Linked DNA regions of Nothobranchius furzeri. The protein of the gene in region 2 binds, or shares a complex with, the protein of the main gene of each other region. Links are inferred from orthologs where the notes say so. Each region holds a gene or a part of one and is shown on either strand. Other genes may lie near its edges. The genes, in order: pole2, pole3, chrac1, baz1a and pole4.

What was found.
Region 1: pole3 (region 2) and pole2 share a complex: the UniProt entries of both Homo sapiens proteins name them as parts of the DNA polymerase epsilon complex. The link is inferred for Nothobranchius furzeri from reciprocal best matches to the Homo sapiens genes POLE3 and POLE2.
Region 3: pole3 (region 2) and chrac1 share a complex: the UniProt entries of both Homo sapiens proteins name them as parts of the CHRAC ISWI chromatin remodeling complex. The link is inferred for Nothobranchius furzeri from reciprocal best matches to the Homo sapiens genes POLE3 and CHRAC1.
Region 4: pole3 (region 2) and baz1a share a complex: the UniProt entries of both Homo sapiens proteins name them as parts of the CHRAC ISWI chromatin remodeling complex. The link is inferred for Nothobranchius furzeri from reciprocal best matches to the Homo sapiens genes POLE3 and BAZ1A.
Region 5: pole3 (region 2) and pole4 share a complex: the UniProt entries of both Homo sapiens proteins name them as parts of the DNA polymerase epsilon complex. The link is inferred for Nothobranchius furzeri from reciprocal best matches to the Homo sapiens genes POLE3 and POLE4.

What each region holds. Positions count from the first base shown.
Region 1 is NC_091758.1:27,026,451-27,029,532, forward strand, and holds the end of pole2 (DNA polymerase epsilon subunit 2), read left to right. Parts: intron 1-69; coding exon 70-242; intron 243-321; coding exon 322-411; intron 412-652; coding exon 653-707; intron 708-787; coding exon 788-847; intron 848-919; coding exon 920-997; intron 998-1,490; coding exon 1,491-1,599; intron 1,600-1,726; coding exon 1,727-1,903; intron 1,904-2,005; coding exon 2,006-2,073; intron 2,074-2,168; coding exon 2,169-2,187; 3' UTR 2,188-2,298; downstream 2,299-3,082. UniProt on the Homo sapiens protein: Accessory component of the DNA polymerase epsilon complex. Participates in DNA repair and in chromosomal DNA replication.
Region 2 is NC_091749.1:66,564,525-66,569,173, reverse strand, and holds pole3 (DNA polymerase epsilon subunit 3), read left to right. Parts: upstream 1-1,816; 5' UTR 1,817-2,004; coding exon 2,005-2,070; intron 2,071-2,890; coding exon 2,891-2,976; intron 2,977-3,107; coding exon 3,108-3,226; intron 3,227-3,542; coding exon 3,543-3,712; 3' UTR 3,713-4,025; downstream 4,026-4,649. UniProt on the Homo sapiens protein: Accessory component of the DNA polymerase epsilon complex. Participates in DNA repair and in chromosomal DNA replication.
Region 3 is NC_091759.1:18,089,959-18,094,741, forward strand, and holds the start of chrac1 (chromatin accessibility complex protein 1), read left to right. Parts: upstream 1-1,877; 5' UTR 1,878-1,983; coding exon 1,984-2,136; intron 2,137-2,263; coding exon 2,264-2,390; intron 2,391-2,802; coding exon 2,803-2,888; 3' UTR 2,889-2,908; exon of another isoform or gene 2,909-3,027; intron 3,028-3,203; exon of another isoform or gene 3,204-3,294; intron 3,295-3,512; exon of another isoform or gene 3,513-3,604; coding exon of another isoform or gene 3,605-3,746; intron 3,747-4,783. Other genes in the region: gatad1 (GATA zinc finger domain-containing protein 1), read right to left, coding at 279-473; uncharacterized protein si:ch211-57n23.1, read right to left, coding at 3,605-3,746. UniProt on the Homo sapiens protein: Forms a complex with DNA polymerase epsilon subunit POLE3 and binds naked DNA, which is then incorporated into chromatin, aided by the nucleosome remodeling activity of ISWI/SNF2H and ACF1.
Region 4 is NC_091758.1:18,191,279-18,195,310, reverse strand, and holds part of baz1a (bromodomain adjacent to zinc finger domain protein 1A), read right to left. Parts: coding exon 3,938-4,032; intron 3,857-3,937; coding exon 3,691-3,856; intron 2,358-3,690; coding exon 2,262-2,357; intron 2,129-2,261; coding exon 2,061-2,128; intron 839-2,060; coding exon 741-838; intron 504-740; coding exon 250-503; intron 159-249; coding exon 1-158. UniProt on the Homo sapiens protein: Regulatory subunit of the ATP-dependent ACF-1 and ACF-5 ISWI chromatin remodeling complexes, which form ordered nucleosome arrays on chromatin and slide edge- and center-positioned histone octamers away from their original location on the DNA template to facilitate access to DNA during DNA-templated processes such as DNA replication, transcription, and repair.
Region 5 is NC_091748.1:55,969,729-55,973,822, reverse strand, and holds pole4 (DNA polymerase epsilon subunit 4), read left to right. Parts: upstream 1-1,420; 5' UTR 1,421-1,542; coding exon 1,543-1,779; intron 1,780-1,972; coding exon 1,973-2,057; intron 2,058-2,816; coding exon 2,817-2,858; intron 2,859-2,999; coding exon 3,000-3,013; 3' UTR 3,014-3,231; downstream 3,232-4,094. Other genes in the region: serine/threonine-protein kinase NIM1, read right to left, coding at 46-67. UniProt on the Homo sapiens protein: Accessory component of the DNA polymerase epsilon complex. Participates in DNA repair and in chromosomal DNA replication.

The DNA.
Region 1 (3,082 bases), on a different chromosome or scaffold from region 2:
CAAGTATTTTGCTTTTCTGTATTCTGTAACCAAAACTCTCTGTTAATGGGTAAAAACTATTTATTCCAGGGCATACTACGGTGACATCAACTTCTTTGGCGGTCCATCCGCCACCTCGGTCAAAGCGTCCTCCAAGCTTAAACAGCTGGAAGAGGAGAACGAGGATGCTATGTTTGTGATCGTCTCCGACGTCTGCCTGGACAGCATCGAAGTGATGGAAAAGCTCAACACCATGTTCTCAGGTGCGGCGCTACAGGCCCCTGCAGGTGGAGGAGTGAGAAAACTCAGTCTCTTGTTTTGAATGTGTTTGTTTTTTGACAGGATATGCCGCCATGCCTCCCACTTGTTTCATTCTGTGTGGGAACTTCTCCTCCGCTCCTTTTGGGAAAACGCAGATTAAAGCGCTCAAAGGTGAGGCCGTTGGGTCAGAAACCGTTCACCTACACCTCCTAAAGACGGACTCAGAGTCATTTTATTGAGCTTTAAAGTCAACACACACAGCTTTTTGACACTGTCGGCAAATATCTTCCCGCTTTCGCTTAACAGGTTAATCATGCAGCTGAACTGGAGCACTAAGTGTGGACAGCTCAAAGAAAATAAATCTGAAATCAGCCCAATCCTAGTGCATAAAAACAACATTGTCTTTTCTCAGATTCACTGAAGACCCTTGCTGATGTTATAAGTGCATATCCCAGCATTCACAGCAGGTAGGATTGGCCCACTTTTCTTATTTTTTATTTTTTATCTTCAGTGTGTTTGAACTAAAGTGTTCCTTCTAAACCTGCAGTAGTCGCTTTGTGTTTGTTCCCGGTCCCAAAGACCCGGGTCCAGGCACAATCCTACCGCGGTACGTTCTCAAACACGTCTCATTTGTTAAAATTTCCTTCGTTCTTTGGATTAATCTGAATTTTTCCCACAGGCCTCCCTTGGCAGACCACATCACAGAAGAGTTCAGACAGAGAGTCCCCTTTTCTGTGTTCACGACCAATCCCTGCAGGTAAAACGAACACGTAACTGTTTCAAATGGGAAAAGTAAATTAAAAAAAAACTGCACCTATTTAAAGAGCAAGTCACCCACAAATCTACTTTTTTTTTTTTTTTTGCTGATAAACCATATAAACGAGTGTCTAATCGTGCCGTAGACACGTGTAATCGATAATTTGGGACTTTAGTGCATCTTAGTTAAATTTTAAATTTTCTGCCTGTCGTCTTTAGGTTAATAACTCTGCACTGAACTGCGTTTAAATTTAAATCTGCCATCGCTATTGGCTAAGACTATGACATTAGCTGGTACATTATGATGTCACAATGTCATTGTGAGCCTGAGTATGTGTGTGTTTGTTGGTTGCTCCGCCCTCTTGGTCTGCCAAGCAACCTCATATGTTGCATTTTTCAAACATGAAGTGGGAGTGGAGTGAGACTGGTAGGGGGTGACTTGCTCTTTAAGGGTTTTCGTTGCTAAATTGTTTTTTTTAAACTGACCTGTTTAGAGTTCAGTACTGCAGCCAAGAGATCGTCATCATCAGAGAAGATCTGGTCAACAAGATGTGCAGGAATTGTGTCCGTTTGCCAAACAAAAATCTCGACATCCCAAACCACGTGAGGCTCATTTTCTCCCCCAAAGCGTGTTCATGCATTATCCCAAAAAGATCAGATGCTTCTGAGAAGATGGGAGTTAAAAATAGAAATCCAAAACTTTTTAATTTAATTGTTTTCTTCTGTTTAGTTCGTAAAGACCATCCTATCCCAGGGCCATTTATCCCCACTGCCTCTGTACGTCAGTCCCGTGTTCTGGGCCTACGACTTCTCCCTGCGGGTCTATCCGGTGCCTGATGCCATAATTTTTGCAGACAAGTACGACCCCTTCAGCATCACCAGCGCTGACTGCCTCTGTTTCAACCCGGTACAAGAAGCAGGAAACTCAAATAACATGATTTTTGTTAATGTGTTTACTTTTAGTCACTAAGGTATTTTATTTGTTTCTGTTTATATTTTTTGTCCTCAGGGTTCTTTTTCAAAAAGTGGCTTCACGTTTAAAGTGTACTATCCATCTAGCCGGACCGTGGAGGACAGGTGGGATGAAATCTGACATATCGTTGCATATTTAATACTGGTCCTAACCAATATTCGTGTTCATAAGTTAAAGTTGTATTTTTTTCTTTTCACAGCAAACTTCAAGACCTTTAGAGAAAATGATGGGCTTTGTTTTTACCTTGTGTGATATTTGTGTTGTATCTTAGTAAATCAAACATGTTTGTAACAGTTTTTATTTAAAATAAAGGTTTTATTCTTTGCTGAGTTTTCCTGTACTTTAATGTTTATAGAGAGCTCTCTGAGGAAGCTCATTTAATGAAAATAAACAATTGTTTTTGAAATTTACATAAAAAATATTTATATAAGAAATTTTCTTCATATTTTTTCATTAAATGTTTGCAAAATAGGTAAATAATTTAACTATTTTAAAAAGCTTCGTGCAAATAATCAACTAGTGAATTTTTATGTTTAATGATGAACTTGTATATTATTCCTAATGCAATGTTAAAGACTCTTTGTTTTTCCATTGAAGGTAATTTCTGGTATCACTATTTCTCAAATCGACACACTGAATTTTCATTTCTATATATCTATTTAACTAATATGGTCATAGACATGAATTGTAATTTAGTGTTTTAAATGTTTACTCTGAAGTTATATACCAAAAATACCCTCAGTAGAAAGTATGGATTACCACTCTTTGATTAAGATGACCCAGATGTTTTATATAGTGGAGGTAAAAAAAAAATATAATAACATTAGTAAATCAAATCATCTTATTTTCAATGCTGATTTCCATTCATCTTTAGGGTGTTTTCTGTAAAATATAACTATTGAGCATCCTCAAAGACATTTTTTTTTTAAATATGAGGTAAGGAGTGACAAAAATTTTGGAATAAACAGTTGATGTAAATAAAGGTAAAAGTTTTAAAGAGATTACATTTTCCCAGTGTAACCAGGTTAGTTCAGCGCTACCAATATTTACAGAGTAATCTTCCTTTCATTGATCAAAATTATTTAAAAAACTGCTGTGATTCAGCTGAACAGC
Region 2 (4,649 bases):
AGGGGTTTTCAGACGACAGGTTATCACGAGTACAAATGCAAAACTGTCACGGTCTGGTTAGTGGCTAGCGCTACCCAAACTGAGTAAATCATCTGGCATGGTGAAGCATCACACTGCTCCTTAAATCCCCTGGCCTTGATGAGGAGATCAGCTTCAGCTGGGAGCTCTCAGACACGCCCACCTGTGGAAACAAGCTCAGAGTAGAAAAACCAGGTTACAGGCAGACAGCTCACCACGGACCATGACAGAAGGGTTATCCCGATTAACATATGCTGCTCCCTCTTTACATTTGGGTAAGGAAATTGGTAAAGATATTGACCGTATGCTCTTTAATTTATATGGAAAAACCGTACGCATTATATTAGGAAAACTGTTGTGATGAATAAGTACGAATCAGGAGGGCTTAACGTCCTAGACTTTTCTACTTTAAATAACACTTTCAAAATTAACTGGGCTAAACATTTTCTTAAAAACCATACCTCTATCTGGAACCTTATACCATATCATATTTTCTCTTGTTTTGGTGGCTTTAATTTTATTTTAAATTGTAATTACAATGTTGAGAAACTCCCTATAAAACTTTCACCCTTCCATAAGCAAGTCCTCTTAGCGTGGACCCTCATTTATAAACACAACTTCTCACCTCACAAATATCTTATCTGGAACAACAGAGATATTTTATTTAAAAATAAATCACTTTTCCTGGAAACTTGGGTCCAGAATGGGATCCTATTGGTGGCTCAGCTGGTTAATAAAGAGGGACAACTACTTACTTACATCGACTTTATTGCCCTATATAATTTCCCAATCAGTGTTCAGGAATTGTCAATGGTGCTTGGTGCCATACCCTCAGGGGCTTTAATGTTATATAAAAACACTGACAGCTCAATATCTACCTCAGTCACTCTCCCTAATCCAGTTGAGTCACCAATAGGAAAAATCTGCTTTTCTCTAGAACTTGGTAACAGCAATAAGAGAATACGTAGTTTATTACAGAAAGATATCGTCTCTCTCCCGTATATAATATCTTATTGGAACCGATATGTTCCAGATATCAAGTGGAAGACAGTCTGGATGATCCCCCAGAAATATTTTATTGTAAATAAGGTGAAAGAAGTCTCATTTAAACTTCTACATAAATGTTATCCAGCCAGTCATTACATGGTAAAATTTAAAAGGGTCATAAACACTAATTGTACTTTCTGTGGGGATCATCCAGAAACTGTGACACATCTTTTTTGGTGCTGTTCTTTTACACAAAGATTCTGGAAGGAATTTAGCAGGTTTGTTACTGTCCATATTTTAAGGGAGTTTTCTTTACGATGGGAAGATGTTTTGTTCTGTTTCTTTAAGTTCCCCATGAAGAATGATAAATGTTTTTTTTATGATAAATCTGTTAATACTTTTAGCTAAATTCTTTATTCATAAATGTAAGTTTACTAACAAAACACCAAATTTCTGTCATTTTTAAGCATGTGGAATTGTACATAAAATCAATATCAGAATCCACCAACAAAAAAAGCTCTCAAAACAATATATATGTGAATTTTTGCGTGTATTCTTATAATTGTTACTTTTTTCTTTTACCTCTGGCTTTGTGTGTTCATGTTCTGTTGTTTTGTATACTTCATTCGTTTCTATGTTGTATACTCATTGTTTGTTAAATAAAGTAAAAAAATAAATAAACGCTGACGTTTCCTCCTCCAAGGTCTAGCTCATCGACATATATACGTCTAGCTGCAGACTGTTATTGAAAATGTTGGCTGGTACTTTTAGTTTTCAAGACAGGAAGTACGTCATTCGCATCAAGGTCAAAGTTCATCGTTGACGCAGGCGGACTTGTGGTGGTTGAAAGCTTCGCGGGAAACGTCCCGAAACAAACGACGGTTTGAGCAGCGGCGCGCGAGCTTTTCACGTTAGAACGAGGGATTCGAGTCACGTTAACTACGCGCGCTGACATCTACCGGAGACTCGACCGGGGGGAAACGGAGTGGTTCGGGAGAAATGGCGGAAAGGCCCGAAGACCTAAATCTTCCCAACGCGGTGATCACCCGCATCATCAAGGAGGCGGTGAGTGAAACCCGCCGGGTCCGGGTTCCACCGGTTACCGTCTGATTCCACCCACTGTCCGGATTAAACAGACCACAGATCAGCTGTGTGTTCATTCAGTCCCAGTTTACAGTTGTTGTGGGTGTTGGTGACGTCACATGAAACCAGAGACGTTCACGGTTTGGCTCTTAGAGCTTTGGTTCATCAGATCTCCTCTGGTTGAGGGTACTGTTTCTAATAACAGCCCACGGAGATGGAGATAATTGCCTTCAGGCTACTGGCCCTTCAAACATGACAGATCTGTAAGAAGGATGAGAAATTAAAGGTAACCAGGGTTAACCAGTCCCTCCTGGATTTCACCAGCTTCAAGAAAAGTCTACAAAATACAATTTTACTTGCCCTTGTCATGTTCTAGAAAACAAAACCATTTTATAGTCAGTGACCAAAAAAAAAAAAAGCAATAAAAATCAGATTTGGGGTTTTAGATTCTGATCTAATAATTGCTGCATTTTGATTTAAAAGGAAAAAAAAATCTGCTCAAATTCAAAATGAGTCTGAATCAAAAATAACATTCAGATTCCGTTTGTTTGAAATGAGAAAATTATCAGTACTTCATATTTATTCCGGAGTTAAGACCTTTTAATTATAAGTCATCTCTAAATAAATCTGATAAAGTTCAGTGTTTTGATGATGAATCTGAACGATTTTGGTCATTTTTAAACGTTTTGACACGTTCATGTGTGAATTAGCTTTTTGTGAGTGAAAAAGAGCAGTTGCGAGCTGGCTCTGACTCCAGAGTGAAGCTCTGAGATAACTCCTCCGCACCGTTTGTTTCTCACAGCTCCCAGATGGGGTGAACGTGTCCAAAGAAGCTCGCAGAGCCATCTCTCAGGCAGCCAGCGTGTTTGTGTTGTATGCAACCTCCTGGTGAGGAAAAAAAGCCAATAAAACTGCATTTTTGTTCACAAGATCAAGCTTTTAACACATTTGTGACCCAGCAGAAAGACCTGGATGGTTCCCGTCAACGCTCCTCAAGCCAGTTTCCTTTTTCCTTGCAGTGCGAACAACTTTGCCATGAAGGCTAAAAGGAAAACTCTGAACGCGGGAGACGTTCTGGCTGCCATGGAGGAGATGGAGTTCGAGCGGTTCATGGAGCCTCTCAGGGAAGCTCTGGAAGGTGAGAACATCATTAAGAATAGTCTGTCAGAAGACATCAGCAGGCAGCAGATCCAGTTTGAGGCTGGCTCTGTCGGAATGCCGAATCATGATGGGGTTCCAAGGCCAGTTCCTTGGATTTCCCACTCTGGACGGACCGTAAACGCAGCATTCTTGTAAATGTGGTTTTCTTATCAGATTTTTTTTTTTTTTTTTGTGTCGATAGGAACTTTTTCACCCCTGAGTAAACACAGAAAAGCCATCAGGTTCAAGTTCCTGCTGAAGCTTCCAGGTGTTCCAGCAGCCGGACCAGCTAACAATGTCTTTGTTCTCCACAGTCTATAAGAAGGACCAGAAGGGAAAGAAGGAGGTTTCTGAGCAGAAACGCAAAGATAAAGAAAAAAAGGTTGATTCTGAGAATGACAAGAGCAGAGAGGATGACGAGGCTGATGAAGAGGAGCAGCAGCAATGCATGGAGGAGGAGCCTGAAGAGGAGGTGGAGAACTGAGGACTCCACCCACATCTTTGGGTAGCTGATGTTAGACCGGACACACACCCGTCCAAACTCGCAGGAAACAGTCGGCCCGTTTCTTTATGGGCCTAACGTTTGAGACTTTTGATCCTGCACCAGGTCACCATCCATTCTGACTCGTAGGTTCCCCTCAAACTTCTGTGGTTGATTTTGGACCTCTGATATCAGAGTGAAGACTTTCACTGGGTTCTGTTTTAGAATGAAATCCCAGTTTTTTTCTTTACCATTTGTACTGTTGTAGTCATTTATTACAAAAGTCCTTCAATAAAAGTTTGTAATGAAACCTTCAGATTTGTCTCAGATCAGACAGGAAGTCTTCCTGTTGCAGGTTACCTCCACAGCAGGGGCCTGAGGAAGAAGGTTCCTCTACAACACAGTTCAGGAACCCTCCAAGGATCAGTGACCTTGGACCCTTCAGCACACAGAAGTCATCTAACCACATGACCAGGAGTTACCTTAAGCACCATGTCCAAACCATCGACATAAATATACAAAAAAAAAATAAAACGATAAAATTAACAGCAGGTCCACCTCAATGGTCCAAACAGCCTGATATTGGCCCAACCCCAATACTCACACTGCCACACTAGCTCAATACTGACCCAGGTGTGTGAGGCGTCAATTCTCAATGGGAAAGCCGATCACGCCCGCTTTGCACCCTTGATCCGCACTTCACCCAAGCCTGCAGTGACGCAGACTTGGGTGGAAGGTATTACACACAATCCATCGCCGCAGGAACATCTGAAATGCTCATTTTCCAACAAAAGTTCATTTTAGGACATTAGTTAATGCTCCAACATTTTAAGACAAAGCAATTTAAATGTTTTTCAAATAATATCCTGTTAAAGGTTTAAAAAAAAAATTGTGCAAGTGACCAGCATCCTGACATGCGCTACGATCGATGATGTCTCAA
Region 3 (4,783 bases), on a different chromosome or scaffold from region 2:
TAAAAATATTAAACTAAATGGTAAAATTATTTTATTAAAAAAATGACATGAAGTATTATTTTCAAACTATTTTATTCCAGTTTACTTTCTAGAAACATTTTCATGGCCACCAGGGGGCGCTGTTGTTACACCAAGACACTACTAAAGAAAAGCAAAAACAATGATGTTATAGTCATGTGTACGCTTTCTAAAAATTAACTAAAATAAGACATAAAAACTAACAATTCCTCATGAACTCTCGGATTTTGTTCGTGGCGTTTCTCTTCGGTGTTTCTGACCTGCTTGGCCCCGCCGTTGCTGGGCTGTGTGATGGTTGATATGGAGGAGGGTCCCGAAGCTCCCCCGCCGCCGCCGCTACTGCTGCTCTTCCCTGTGCAGTTGTTGCACAGTATTTCACCCTGGGTGCCTTTCTTCCACATTGAGGAAGAGTTCGTCTTACAGACAAAGCAGCACGGCTTCAAACCCAGAGGCATTTTACCGGCTAGAGAACGATGCCTCCGTACGTAAAAACGATCACAACAGAAACGCAGCTGCTTGGCTTATTACCAGATCACGACCGGATGTAGCTTTAGCATATTTCGCCAACGATTATCAAACAAAAATAACCGTAAAGACATCAAAAAGCCTTAAAACACAACGAAGTTAAAGCAGCATTATTTATGTACTGACTTGTTTCTACTTTCAGCGCGGAGGTTCTTCTTCAGCGTTTCCTTTGTTCTGAGGTCGGAAAACTATTGAAGTCAAGCGCCGCCTACTGGTGTGGAGGACTGCGTCGGGCGCTGGGCTGGGGCAGCTAAATGTGAGTCAGTATTTCCTTATTATCGTTGTTAAAATAGATATGAGTGCATGAACAACAACTTTGTGTTTTTTCAGGATTAAAATAATAAACTATTGATCACTAGTATCACTCATTCACATGTTTAAAAAGTTTGGATTGATATAGGAATTAACTTATTGAGTGCTGAAGCAGCGGCCTTCTTCTTCTTATCATTATTATTACAATGGGAGATAACCGTTTATTTGATTATTATCTGTTTAACAAAGTTGTTACTTTCCATGCCTTTGATTGTATCTTTTTCACTCTTTATTTTTACAGGTTTTTGCTGATTGAAAGACTGGCTTTCCCCACTAACAGACAAATAAAACGTCTTCTACTTTAAATTATTTAAATTATTAATATTTTTATTGTTAGTAGTAGCTAGTAGAAGTAGTAGAAGTAGTAGTAGTAGTAGTAGTAGTAGTAGTAGTAGTAGTAGTAGTAGTAGTAGTAGTAGGAGGAGGAGGAGGAGGAGGAGGAGGAGGAGGCAGAGTAGTAGTGGTGGTTGTTCCTGTTTTTTAATGTATTTCATATTTTTTACAGATTTCCTTAAAAGTTTTTAGAAAATTGGTATAATCCTTTGAGGAACTAAAATAATGTTAATTACTTTTGTTTACTTTTATAAACAATTCTGCAGTTTATTTTACTGTATTCTAACAAACACATTTTTACACTAGGACCTGTGATTCATGGAGAATAGAAACAAATGCAAACAAAATAAAAAGAGTTCCATTTCCTTTGCCTCACTATGGCAAAAATAATGATAGAGTTTATTCGAGATTATTCATTTGTATATTTAAGTATATTATATTAAATTATATTATATTAAATATAATAGTTTTAAACAAGCTGAAAGTTGTTTCTCTCAAGCATGGTTCTGTTTTGACCGTTTCCCAAGAGCTGGTTGGAATGATTGTCAGGTACTTTTTTAAAATACAAATATAGTATCAGGGTAAAATTTAATTACTATTTATTAAATTTAATCTAAATATACAGTGTTGTTTGAAATAACATCTTTTGTGCTGGGTTATACTCCTGCTTTCCAGCGGGAGGCGCTGTTTCAACGTAAAGACCACCAAAGAAATTGAAGACGGCGAAGAAGAAAGGCGTCACTCTTCAAAACAAAACTTAAAGTTCAGTCATTCTTGTCCTTTGTCCAAACAGAAATGTCTCGAAACAACCCAAACAAAGACAGCCAGACGCCGGACGCCAAAAAGTCCATCTCTCTCCCGGTGTCCCGGGTCAGACTGATCATGAAGAGCTCTCCGGATGTCTCCAGCATCAACCAAGACGCGCTGTTCCTCACCACCAAGGCTACTGTAAGCTGCCCTTGATGCTAATGTGGTTGTGTTTCTATTAGCGGGGGGTTAGCATAACTAGCTGGTGGTTGAACTAAAATCGTGTGAAGTTAAAATCGCTAAATATAGTTTTTAATCTGTTGTAAAGGAGCTGTTTGTGCAGCATCTGGCCCTGTCCTCCTTCAACAACGGCTCCGGGAAGGACAGCAACACCCTGGAATACAGCGACCTAGCTAAAACCACCGAGGAGAACGAGACCTTCCACTTCCTCACAGGCGAGTCTGGAGCTGAGCATCAGCGCGTCCTGAAGCCAGATTATTAGATACACTGGCCTTTATTGTATTTTAATGTTTTATTTATAAATAAGTGTTTTAATAAAGTCCCAGACACGAGGAAAATAGCAAAACGCCATTGGAAGCTAGCTTTTGGACCATTTAGGAAGATTTATTTTAGCTTTCCTGTATTTTACTGCCAAAAATGAAAGATTGGAATGAAACAGAATCAAACCAATAAAAAAAAACTTACAGATGAGAGAGAGAGCGATATGAATTTTCCACAAGAACTGTAAGCCGCTTACATTTATTTTAGCAACATGTAATTTTTGTGCCATTTGAACTTTATTTCTCAGAGAAAAGACCGATAATAAATAAAATTTATACTGAAAAACAGGTTTTTTTAATCTGACAGATATTTTGCCGAAGAAGATCTTGGCTCGAGATTACCTCAAGACTTTGGAGCAGATGCAAGAAGAAGAAGAAGAAGCTGATCTTTGACATGAAAGCCACTTTCCCTGGTGTGTGTGTGTGTGTGTGTGTGTGTGTGTGTGTGTGTGTGTGTGTGTGTGTGTGTGTGTGTGTGTGTGTGTGTGTGTGTCAGAGGAGACACTTATGGACTTTAGAGCTTTTTAAACACACGGTCTTGGAGAAGGTGGAGCTTAAATTGCCTCAGAGCTCAGCTCTGAGGAATTTAGACCAAATAATGGCAGTAAGCAAATAAGATATTTAACACTGGTTTAAAAGGCAGCACAGACCAATCAGTTCAGTTTAACATTTTAATTTTGGCTGAACACAGTCGGGGCTGTCTTTTAGGTGCTTCCACTTGCACCAGAAGTGAACCGTTACCTCCTAACAGACGTGACAAGCAGCTGGAACACAGACGTGACAGAAAACACGAGTGGATGAAAAACTTCATCCACCTGTAGAGAGGCGACGTGTTTAGATGAGAGACTGCGAAGCAGCGTTTGTGCCTCTCCAGATGTGAAATGCCACCTCAGCTTCACGTCATTTTCTTTGTTAAAATGTCTCAGAGGGAATCGTCGTTGTGAATTTACTCGTGTGTTTAGATTTGATATAAAATAAAGATGAATGCTAAAATAAATGCCTCTCGTGTCAAGATCCGATGTTTTATACTTTTATGATGTTTCACAAGCATGTTGCAGGGGATTGTGGTTGATATTTAGTTAGCTGCTGCATGAATGGAACATGAATCGTCAGCGTCGGGTCAGCTTCGCGAGTCGAAGCTGAAAATGAAACAGATTCTTCTCTAAAGTAGAAAAGTGACTCTCCAGGCTGTTCGCCGTGCGCGCTCTCCTGTCGAGACCGTCCCTCGTGTTGGCGAGATGATCGTTCAGCCTAAAGAGGACGAAACGAGTAAATATGGATAAGTTTGTTTTTAATCAAACAAACACATTCAGTTAACGACCTCTGATGTCCAGATGATGACTCAGCTTGTTTTCTACTTTTAGATCCATCATGTAATAATCCAGATTTCACGTGCCTCGTTAAGGATTCATAGCTAACCTCCACAGCTGACTCTGGATCAGTTTGTTCATGTAAAACAATCTGAACAGCTCATTTGCAAGAAATAGCAGATTTGTCTTTTTCAGCAGCCTGCTTAATCTCTTAATCTCACTCTTAAATTCTCAGTCTCACTATTTTAATCTCAATCTCACTATTTTAATCTCTCAGTATCACTCTTTCTTTCTTTCTCTCTCAATATCTCTCTTAATCTCTCAATCTCACTTTTAATCCCTCAGTTTCTCTGTGTCTCAGTATCCCAATCTCCCTCATAATCTCTCAATCTTTCTTAATCCTTCTCTCTCAATCTCTCTGTTATTCAGTTTCTCTCCCCCCCCCCTCAATATCACTCTTAATCTCTCAATCTCACTTTTAATCCCTCAGTTTCCCTTTGTCTCAGTATCCCAATCTCCCTCATAATCTCTCAATCTCTCTTAATCCTTCTTTCTCAATCTCTCTGTTATTCAGTTTCTCCCCCCCCCTCAATATCACTCTTAATCTCTCAATCTCACTTTTAATCCCTCAGTTTCCCTTTGTCTCAGTATCCCAATCTCCCTCATAATCTCTCAATCTTTCTTAATCCTTCTCTCTCAATCTCTCTGTTATTCAGTTTCTCCCCCCCCCTCAATATCTCTCTTAATCTCTCAATCTCACTTTTAATCCCTCAGTTTCCCTTTGTCTCAGTATCCCAATCTCCCTCATAATCTCTCAATCTTTCTTAATCCTTCTCTCTCAATCTCTCTGTTATTCAGTTTCCCCCCCCCCCCTCAATATCTCTCTTAATCTCTCAATCTCACTTTTAATCCCTCAGTTTCTCTGTGTCTCAGTATCCCAATCTCCCTCATAATCTCTCAATCTTTCTTAATCCTTCT
Region 4 (4,032 bases), on a different chromosome or scaffold from region 2:
CCTGCAGTAAGGCCTCCCTCAGACTGCTTTCTCTGTGGCCCCGAGGGTTCAAGGCCTCAATCAACTGATCCAGTTCATCCACTGAGCTGTAGAAGAACCACTGGTTGGGCTGTTCAACCGGGACACTTCTGCAAAGCTGAGCCGGGCTTGATCCAGTGCTGTGAGGTGATAAAAAAGAAAAAAATACATTGAGAGTGCTTTCTTGATGATTTTCTTTGACTTGATCAGTTTAGGCTGTGTGTGACCCACCTTTCACCAGAAGGTTCATTCTTAAATCCTTCCTCCTCCTCCTCCTCATCATCATCAATGATAATGACAGCATCCTTAGAGAGTTTTAGACACGGTTTCAGCATGTCCTCTGTCAGGCCGAAAAAGTCCTCTTCCACAAACAGTGCAGAGGCAGATGGCAGGATCCAGTATCTCCGGTACATTCGGTCTCGACCCAAAGGCAGCAGGCTGGTACAGGCTGCTGCTTTCTGAATGCGCTCCTGCAACTCTCGAACCTGCCAGCATCAGGAAGAGAACTAAAAATCTAATAATGACAGACTCCTGTCATGTTGCTGAAATGTCATCATATATGTCACGCCACCAGGCGCAGCTGCTGATCGCCAGCAGGAAGAAAATTACATCCTTCAGGTAATTTCAGCCGTGAACATAATACTACACCAACTTACTGCAGATCTTTGCTTTTTGTAACAAGTGAGATATGCTTAGAGATTTGTAATGGAGTTGCATCTGACCTTCTCCTGCTCCTTCTCCAGCTCCTCTGGACCCAGGCTGGGAGGAGGGCCCGACAGGTTTTTGATGTCAGAATTCATACATTTTTCTTTCTGATTACCTTCAACCCAAAAAGGAGAAACAAAAGAAGCACACATTTAAAAAATAAACATCTTTATGAATTTTCTTAGCTTGAAATTAGGGATGAACCAATACTGGTTTCAAACAGACTTCGACTCACAGTGACCCAAATACAAATACAGGCCACTTACCATTCATGACCCAAGTCACAGTTACATACAACAGAAAAAAAATCCGGTTAGTAAAAATAATTTAATGTTTGATTCAGTTATTCTGACCTGGACTTGATGTAAAACTAGAAAGTTAAACAGGACAGAATAACACCCAACAATCGGATAACTTTTTAACCATTTAAATCTTTAATCTTCACAGTGTTTAGCTACAGCTGAGTTGGGTTTGGACACCACGGTGTATCATGGTAGAGGGTGCCACCACACCACGAACACGATGCTGCCCATACCACGTGACCTTGTTAAGCGGCACATCCACAGACTGATGGAAGACTTTTCAGCCTTCAGCTTCACAACACATGTGGAGGAACAGCATCTGTGCTTGCTCAAGTGCAAGGTGGGTCGACAATGATTTTACTCTGCAAAGACTCCTTCTGCACGCTAAATGGTTTCAGGTGTTGGACAATATCCAACTGCAGGTGAGTTAAATGAACACTTCAGACGTGAGGAATCCCTTAAAGTTCCACCCACGTTGTGCTGTTAAAATGCAGAAAACATGAGAAACCTTCTGTGTCTCACACGCCCTCAAGTTGGTGGTTAATGCAGGCTTTTGGCACAGAAGAGTGTGACTGTTGCCGTCAGGCAGAAAACAGTCGAACTTTTAAACATTCTGCTTGAGCTTAAGCCAGCCTCAAAGTACGGTACATTACCTACTATCCTGCATCGATGAGTACTCAGCTCTAAGGAATTGTACTAGTTTTGGACAAATTGGTATTGGCCCATCCCTAAAAAACATTTTGCTACAAACGTCTGGTTGAACAGAGGCTGCAGCTAGACAGAGGCCTGTTTTGAGCTTAGGATCCTTCCTCAAGACAGAGGGCAGTTGAAAGGCTGCTGCGGGTACCAAGATTATCGGTAGGATGGTATAAAAATCTGATATATGATCAAAAAATCCATCATTTCCTTAATTAATTACTGAGTCTACAGGTGGAGGTGGGGATGGGACCATGCAGAGATGGACTGCGGGAGCGAATGGAATTGGGAGAATAAACGGGAGTAGGTGGGAACATGCTGGGCTCTGTACAGTTTTACCTTCCATTGTCTTTCTAAATGATGAGTTTTCTTCAGTTTTCTCAGAAGGACGTTCTGCAGGTGTTCCACTACAGAGACAACACAGTTAATTTCATCCCAACACAAGGATTTTATCTGTTTTTTTAGGACATTTAGAAGTCGTCTAAATGCAAAGTGAAGAAGAGCTCTTCCTCCTCCTCTTAGCCAAAACGCTCTTCCTACCCATTTATGTGGATCTCCTTTTCCTCCTGCTCCTTTAATTTGTCCCTCATCCGCTGCTCCTGCTCCCTCAACTTCTCCTCCTTCCGAAGACGAATCCTAAAATTGACATGAGAGCACACCTGCTGGTAATGTCGTCTGGATATTGTCGGTTTGTCGCAATGTTTGATCAGCTAATGTTAATTCGTCTTTGGTCGGGTTGAAAGAAGTGTCTTTAGTCAACAACAAACCAAATTAAGAGATTGAAACCCCTTCAGCCAAGGAAGCCCAGAATAATGTGCGTTTTATGAAAAATGCGTGGCTGACCTTGCTCTGAACTACGGAAGCCCAGGAGTGGACATGATAGCCTTCTGCTACGTGCTGGCTAAAATAATTACTGTATTGACCTGAATATAAGACGAGGTTTTTTTCATTGACAATAATTTTAAAATGTGGGGTCGTCTTATAATCGGGGTCTAACCATTACACTCCCATAACAGCAGAGGGCGCCAGACTGCATGTTCGCAGAAGAAAAAAGTGGAGACGGGATCCATAGCAGAGTGGACTGAAAGTGGGGCAAGTTAACAAGCTATAAGGCAGATTTATGCAAATTTTAAGATGACTGCAGTCAATTCAGCAGAGGCGTTAAACATTGCATGCATGGATGGCAGTGAGGATGGCATTCTGGGAGGAGTCAGCAGGTGTAGTGATCTGATGGTACACCAGGACCACAGCAGCGCGAGATTTAAGCACAGCGAGGCAGAGGGCGTCTGAATAAAAGCCTCATTTGACCTTTGATTTGTGAGCAAAGTTCTGATAGTTTGCAATAAAATAGTATTTTTGCTCAGTATTTGTTCTCAAATTTTCAATAAAAACAGTTTATTTAAAAAGGGATTTTTTTTTTGTTTTTTTCTGAAATGAGTCTTGGAAAAGGGGCTCGTTTTATAATCGAGGTAATCCTATAATCAGGTCAATACGGTATATTGTCGGTACGGTATAAGTGGAAGGACACACTTCCACCAGCTTATGGTCAGTGGATCAGGGAGGCAATGTCTCACACACACCTGATTCAATGTGGTTTGGTCATCATTTAAGTCATATTTGAATGATGTCTCTGATGAACTTTTTATAATTTTTTCTTTAACTGTATTTTCTATTCGTGGATTTAATTTTGGGCTTTGTTTCAGCGTTGCCTTGGAACTTGTTTTGTGCTTGTTTTTTTATTTTTTACTTGACTTTAAGTTTGATCAAGTGAAGTGGAGTGCGTGGGGGGTCCAATAAAATGTCTTCATTCAAGAAAAGAATAAGTCTCAGGTGGTTCTGACCCGGCCCGAAAAGCAGCAGGTGTTAACACACTGGTTTACTGAAACACCCCTCTGGTTCTAACTGGAAACACTGGTTGTCCTGGCATGGTTTTGATGGGCTGATCGGGCGGTCTGTACGTGCCGTGTACCTGTGTGCGGCCTCCTCCCGGTCTCTGCGATGTTGTTCTGCTCTGACCTCCCTCAGCTCCTGTCTTGCTGCTTTCTGTTCCTCCAGTGAGTCTTCAATCAGATCTCTGCTAGGAGCTAATGTTAACAGTTTTCCCAGCAACGCCAGGAGGATCTTCAGCTTTTCTTCTGTACACAAAAATCATCATGATAGTTTTTAAACTTCAGTCTGAAAAACCTTGATAGCAGCACACACCCCAACAGTCTAACCTGGGCTGAGGTCATACACCGGTGTGCATGACAGCTTCTTCAGGAGAGCAGGCTCAGAAAACTGCAGGTTTACACAGGGATCGTCCATCAGTGTA
Region 5 (4,094 bases), on a different chromosome or scaffold from region 2:
TTATATATAGTTAAATCAAATATAACATAAATGAAAGGGTTTTACCTGGGAGCTGTGGGTCCTTCATGTCTGTTCCCGGAGGCTTTGACGCCGGACTGTGTCCTTACGTGTGAAGAGATCCTCAGAGGGCTAAAGCACTCCTCCCAATCCTATTAATACTGTGTATTAGTGGCCTGATCATCATGTCCTCTGGCACAAACTGACCTCATAAAAATGCTGAAAACATACTTTTGAAGACTAAAGCACCTATGTACCTAAGCATATAGCACATAATGTTGGTTATTTGTTGGTGATTATATTAAAACAGCTGTTCTTAGAATAAACTTCATCTGCATACGAGTTTTAAACAAACGGTGAATATGATGTTCGTTAATTAGGTAATACTGTATAACTTCAGGAAAATCTTAATTTTTGTGATTGTTTGTCCTAAGAAATATATTTTTACAGATAGTTAGACCTATATGGAAACTATTGCCCTACAGATGTCAAGGAAGTAAAAGGTCAAAATGGCATTTATAAAAATATATATATATATATTTGGACTATCAGAGGGGTGTTGTGTGTAGTCAGTATTTAAACAGAGTTTAAGGCAGCTAATTTAGGAAATGTAGTCAGTTTCCCCCCCAGCAATCTAAATCCAGCAGCATGACTAAAGTGATGAGTTACTCAAATTTACCCTAACTGTAACATGTTTTATCTGAGAGTATAAGGATGGATCCTGGTCCAGAATAACACCAAGGATCCTGTCACTAGTACTGGAGGCCAAGTGAATGTCTTCAAGCTGTGATCTTAAAACTCTCAGGTCCAAAAAATACAGCCAATGTCTTCTCTGAACATGGAAATAGAAAAGTAAGAGTCTTTCAGGTCTTTAAGACATGTTTGTAATCTGATTACCTGGTTGGATTTTGTCCATCTCTTGACAATGATCAGCTAAGAATGATGGAGGTGGTGATGATGATGGTGTAAGCAGAGATTTAACAAAGAGACACTATTTCACTTACACATACTTTTTTCCAGAAACGTAAAATTGCTATTGTGATATAAGGCTCTTATCTGCCAACATTGTACTTTAAAAAGTAAACTGCAGGGAATTGATTTCAGTAGTTTGGTGTCTTCAGCGCCTTTTACCGCCCTCCAGTGGACCACTTGTGAGCTGACCCCAACTTATTTTTACTGTTTTTAATTTCTCATAATGTAGAAAAATAAAAATCACAACATTAAAACCTCTAATGCGTGAATTAAAACTAGAAATATCGCCACACAGCGTCACCAAATTGTACATTCACTCCAGAATCTTGCTGCTACATATTTTGACTGACGTCAATTCTAACCAATGACAAGGCATCCTTTAACAATTGTCCAATCACAGACGAGTATTTGTTGGCGGGGTCTGAGCTTTTGACCAATAAACACCATTCGCTCCACGATGTACCGGAAGCACATGCTGGCTCGAGGCGGTTGATGTTGTTGTCTGGGACGTGTAAAATGAGAGATATTCGAGTGTTTTTATAACAGCAAAACACGATTGTGAGGCCATAGGAAATGTCATCAGCAACGCCCGTTCCCTCGGCGGAGCTCGAAGCTGAGCGGTGCGGGAGTGAGGAGGAGAACCGTGCTGTGGAGGCAGAGGACCGGGGTCAGCAGCTGACAGGCCCGGCCGTCGTGCCCCATAACCGTCTGTCCAAACTCCCGCTGGCCCGCATCAAAGCTCTGATGAAGACGGATCCAGACGTGTCCTTGGCTAGCCAGGAGTCTGTGTTCATCATCGCTAAAGCTACGGTAAAACGGTTTACTCAGTAAGAAGGTCAATGTTTTCATGTCACGTCCCCCACGTTTTATCTAGAATAAACCTTTTAGTCCACAAAATAGTTAATATAAACCAATTGCCATTGTTTAATGCAAAACACACGTGTTAGTTTCAGGTAAAATACACCAAACCTACAAGTTTGACCTAATTTTCCCTTTTTTCCAGGAGTTGTTTGTTGAGATGATTGCCAAAGATGCTATGGTGTATGCTCAGCAAGGAAAGAGGAAAACTTTACAAAGAAAAGACTTGGGTAAGAGCTGAAACATTTCAAAGTGACTTCAGAAATTGATTCCTTTTATTTTGATACATTTTTTAAAGTCATTTTTAAGAGTATTTCGAAATTAAGAATACTTCTAGCAACATAATTTTATAGAAACAAATATTGCTACATCAAGAGGAGCCAGTTAAGGTGGCTCGGGCATCTGGTTAGGATGCCTCCCTGGACACCTCCCTGGTGAGGTTTTCTAGGCATGTTCAACTGGGAGGAGACCTAAAGGAAGGCCCAGGACACGCTGGATGTTTTTGGGCTGGCCAGGGAACGCCTTGGGATTACCCTGGAGGAGCTAGCCCAAGTGGCTGGGTAGAGGGAAGTCTGGGCCTCTGTTTAGGCTGCTGCCCCAGCGACCCGACCCCGGATAAGCGGACGAAGTTGGATGCTACGTATTTGTGTATCTCCATGAAAAGTGGAAGTGCTAGAGAATATAATGACTTTAAAAGTCATGTTGTTCAAAACAAAATGGTGATTATATATAAAGAAGGAAGCTTTAGTTAGGTTGATAGAAATCACTAAGTGCCTCCTGATTTTTATTTCGAGAGGCACTATATAAAAGCTTGTTTCTTCTTCATTACTCAGTAGCTAAAAAGCAGTATTTATGTTAATAATAATGTTATAATTTCATCTGGTGGAGAAAACACTTTAAACAGGCATGAAGTGATTCAGTTTTAACAATATTAATAATAATAATAAATGAAAATATTAATTGCACACTCTTCTACTTTTCCTCCACAGACAATGCAATAGAGGCCATAGATGAGTTTGCATTTCTTGAAGGTAAATCATAAAAAAAGACATGAAACAATCCTGCAAAGTTTTGCAAATTATTCCATGTCATCTTTTGACTCTGGTATTTTAACTTCACCCACATGCAGATGTGTTTGTGTGTCTTATCATGTTGACCTCTTTCCTCTACAGGAACACTGGATTAAAGATTTTTTATAAGACCACATTAAAAAGATCCTCAACTGTCTAAAATGTGTTTCATTGTTGAATCACAGAACATTTTTTCTAAGTCAACCTCACAGATTGATTAAATGTTTTTATATGACAAGCTCTAACTTTGAATTTGTCTGATATTGTGTAAATGGTTTTGTAAATATGTGAGTAATGTTACTGGAAAATGGAATAAACTTTTGTTTTAACAACACATTTTCATCTTGTGTGGAAACTGCAGAAATATACAATTCCCAGTAATGGAGTTTTTAACAGAATTGTACAATTATAACATAATTAATTGAAGGTTGACTTTTTTGTTTTAAAAACACTTTTCTTTTATTGGTTGGATAAAATATGCAAATTTTTTTAGATAGGGATTTTGGGTTTTCATGAGCCGTATGCCAAAATCATCAATATTAGAAACAATGAAAGGCTTGAACTACTTCAGTTGTGTGTAATGAATCTAATATATATGAAAGTCTGTTAATCTGTACATTACAGAAAATAATGAACTTCATCACAATATGCTTATTTTTTAGAAGGACCTGTATCTGCTGTATTTGGGATCATTGTCCCATTTCAGGACCCAGTTTTTCCAGGTGTGGCAAAACAATTTAGATTTCAAATGTCACAACAAACTTGGCAGAGATGACAAAGCTGCTAATAACAACTACTCTTATTAGCTTATCTTAATTTACACAAGTTTATCATATAAATGGATGTAGTTTTGGGGGGTGGGGGGACACGACCCCACCCCATTTTTTTCCAAACAAAATTTTGGTACCCTGCAATTTTTACCGTCCAAAAACAATGTTACACCATATTAAATAGACACTGGTTGAGCACTAGGACCAAGCGGAAAACAACTGCTTCTGTTGAAGCCTGTTTCCCATTAGAACCATCCATAAGCTCATCTATTGGCTGTGCTGGTACTTGCTAACGTGTGATTGGCTGTTCCTGCCACCTGACAGTTCTGCATTCCTGCCATTGCATAAAAGAGCCTCTAGGCTGTAGTTTTATACATGTTTTTTGTATACTTACTGTGAGAGCCATTTTAACTGAAGGTGTAGTTAT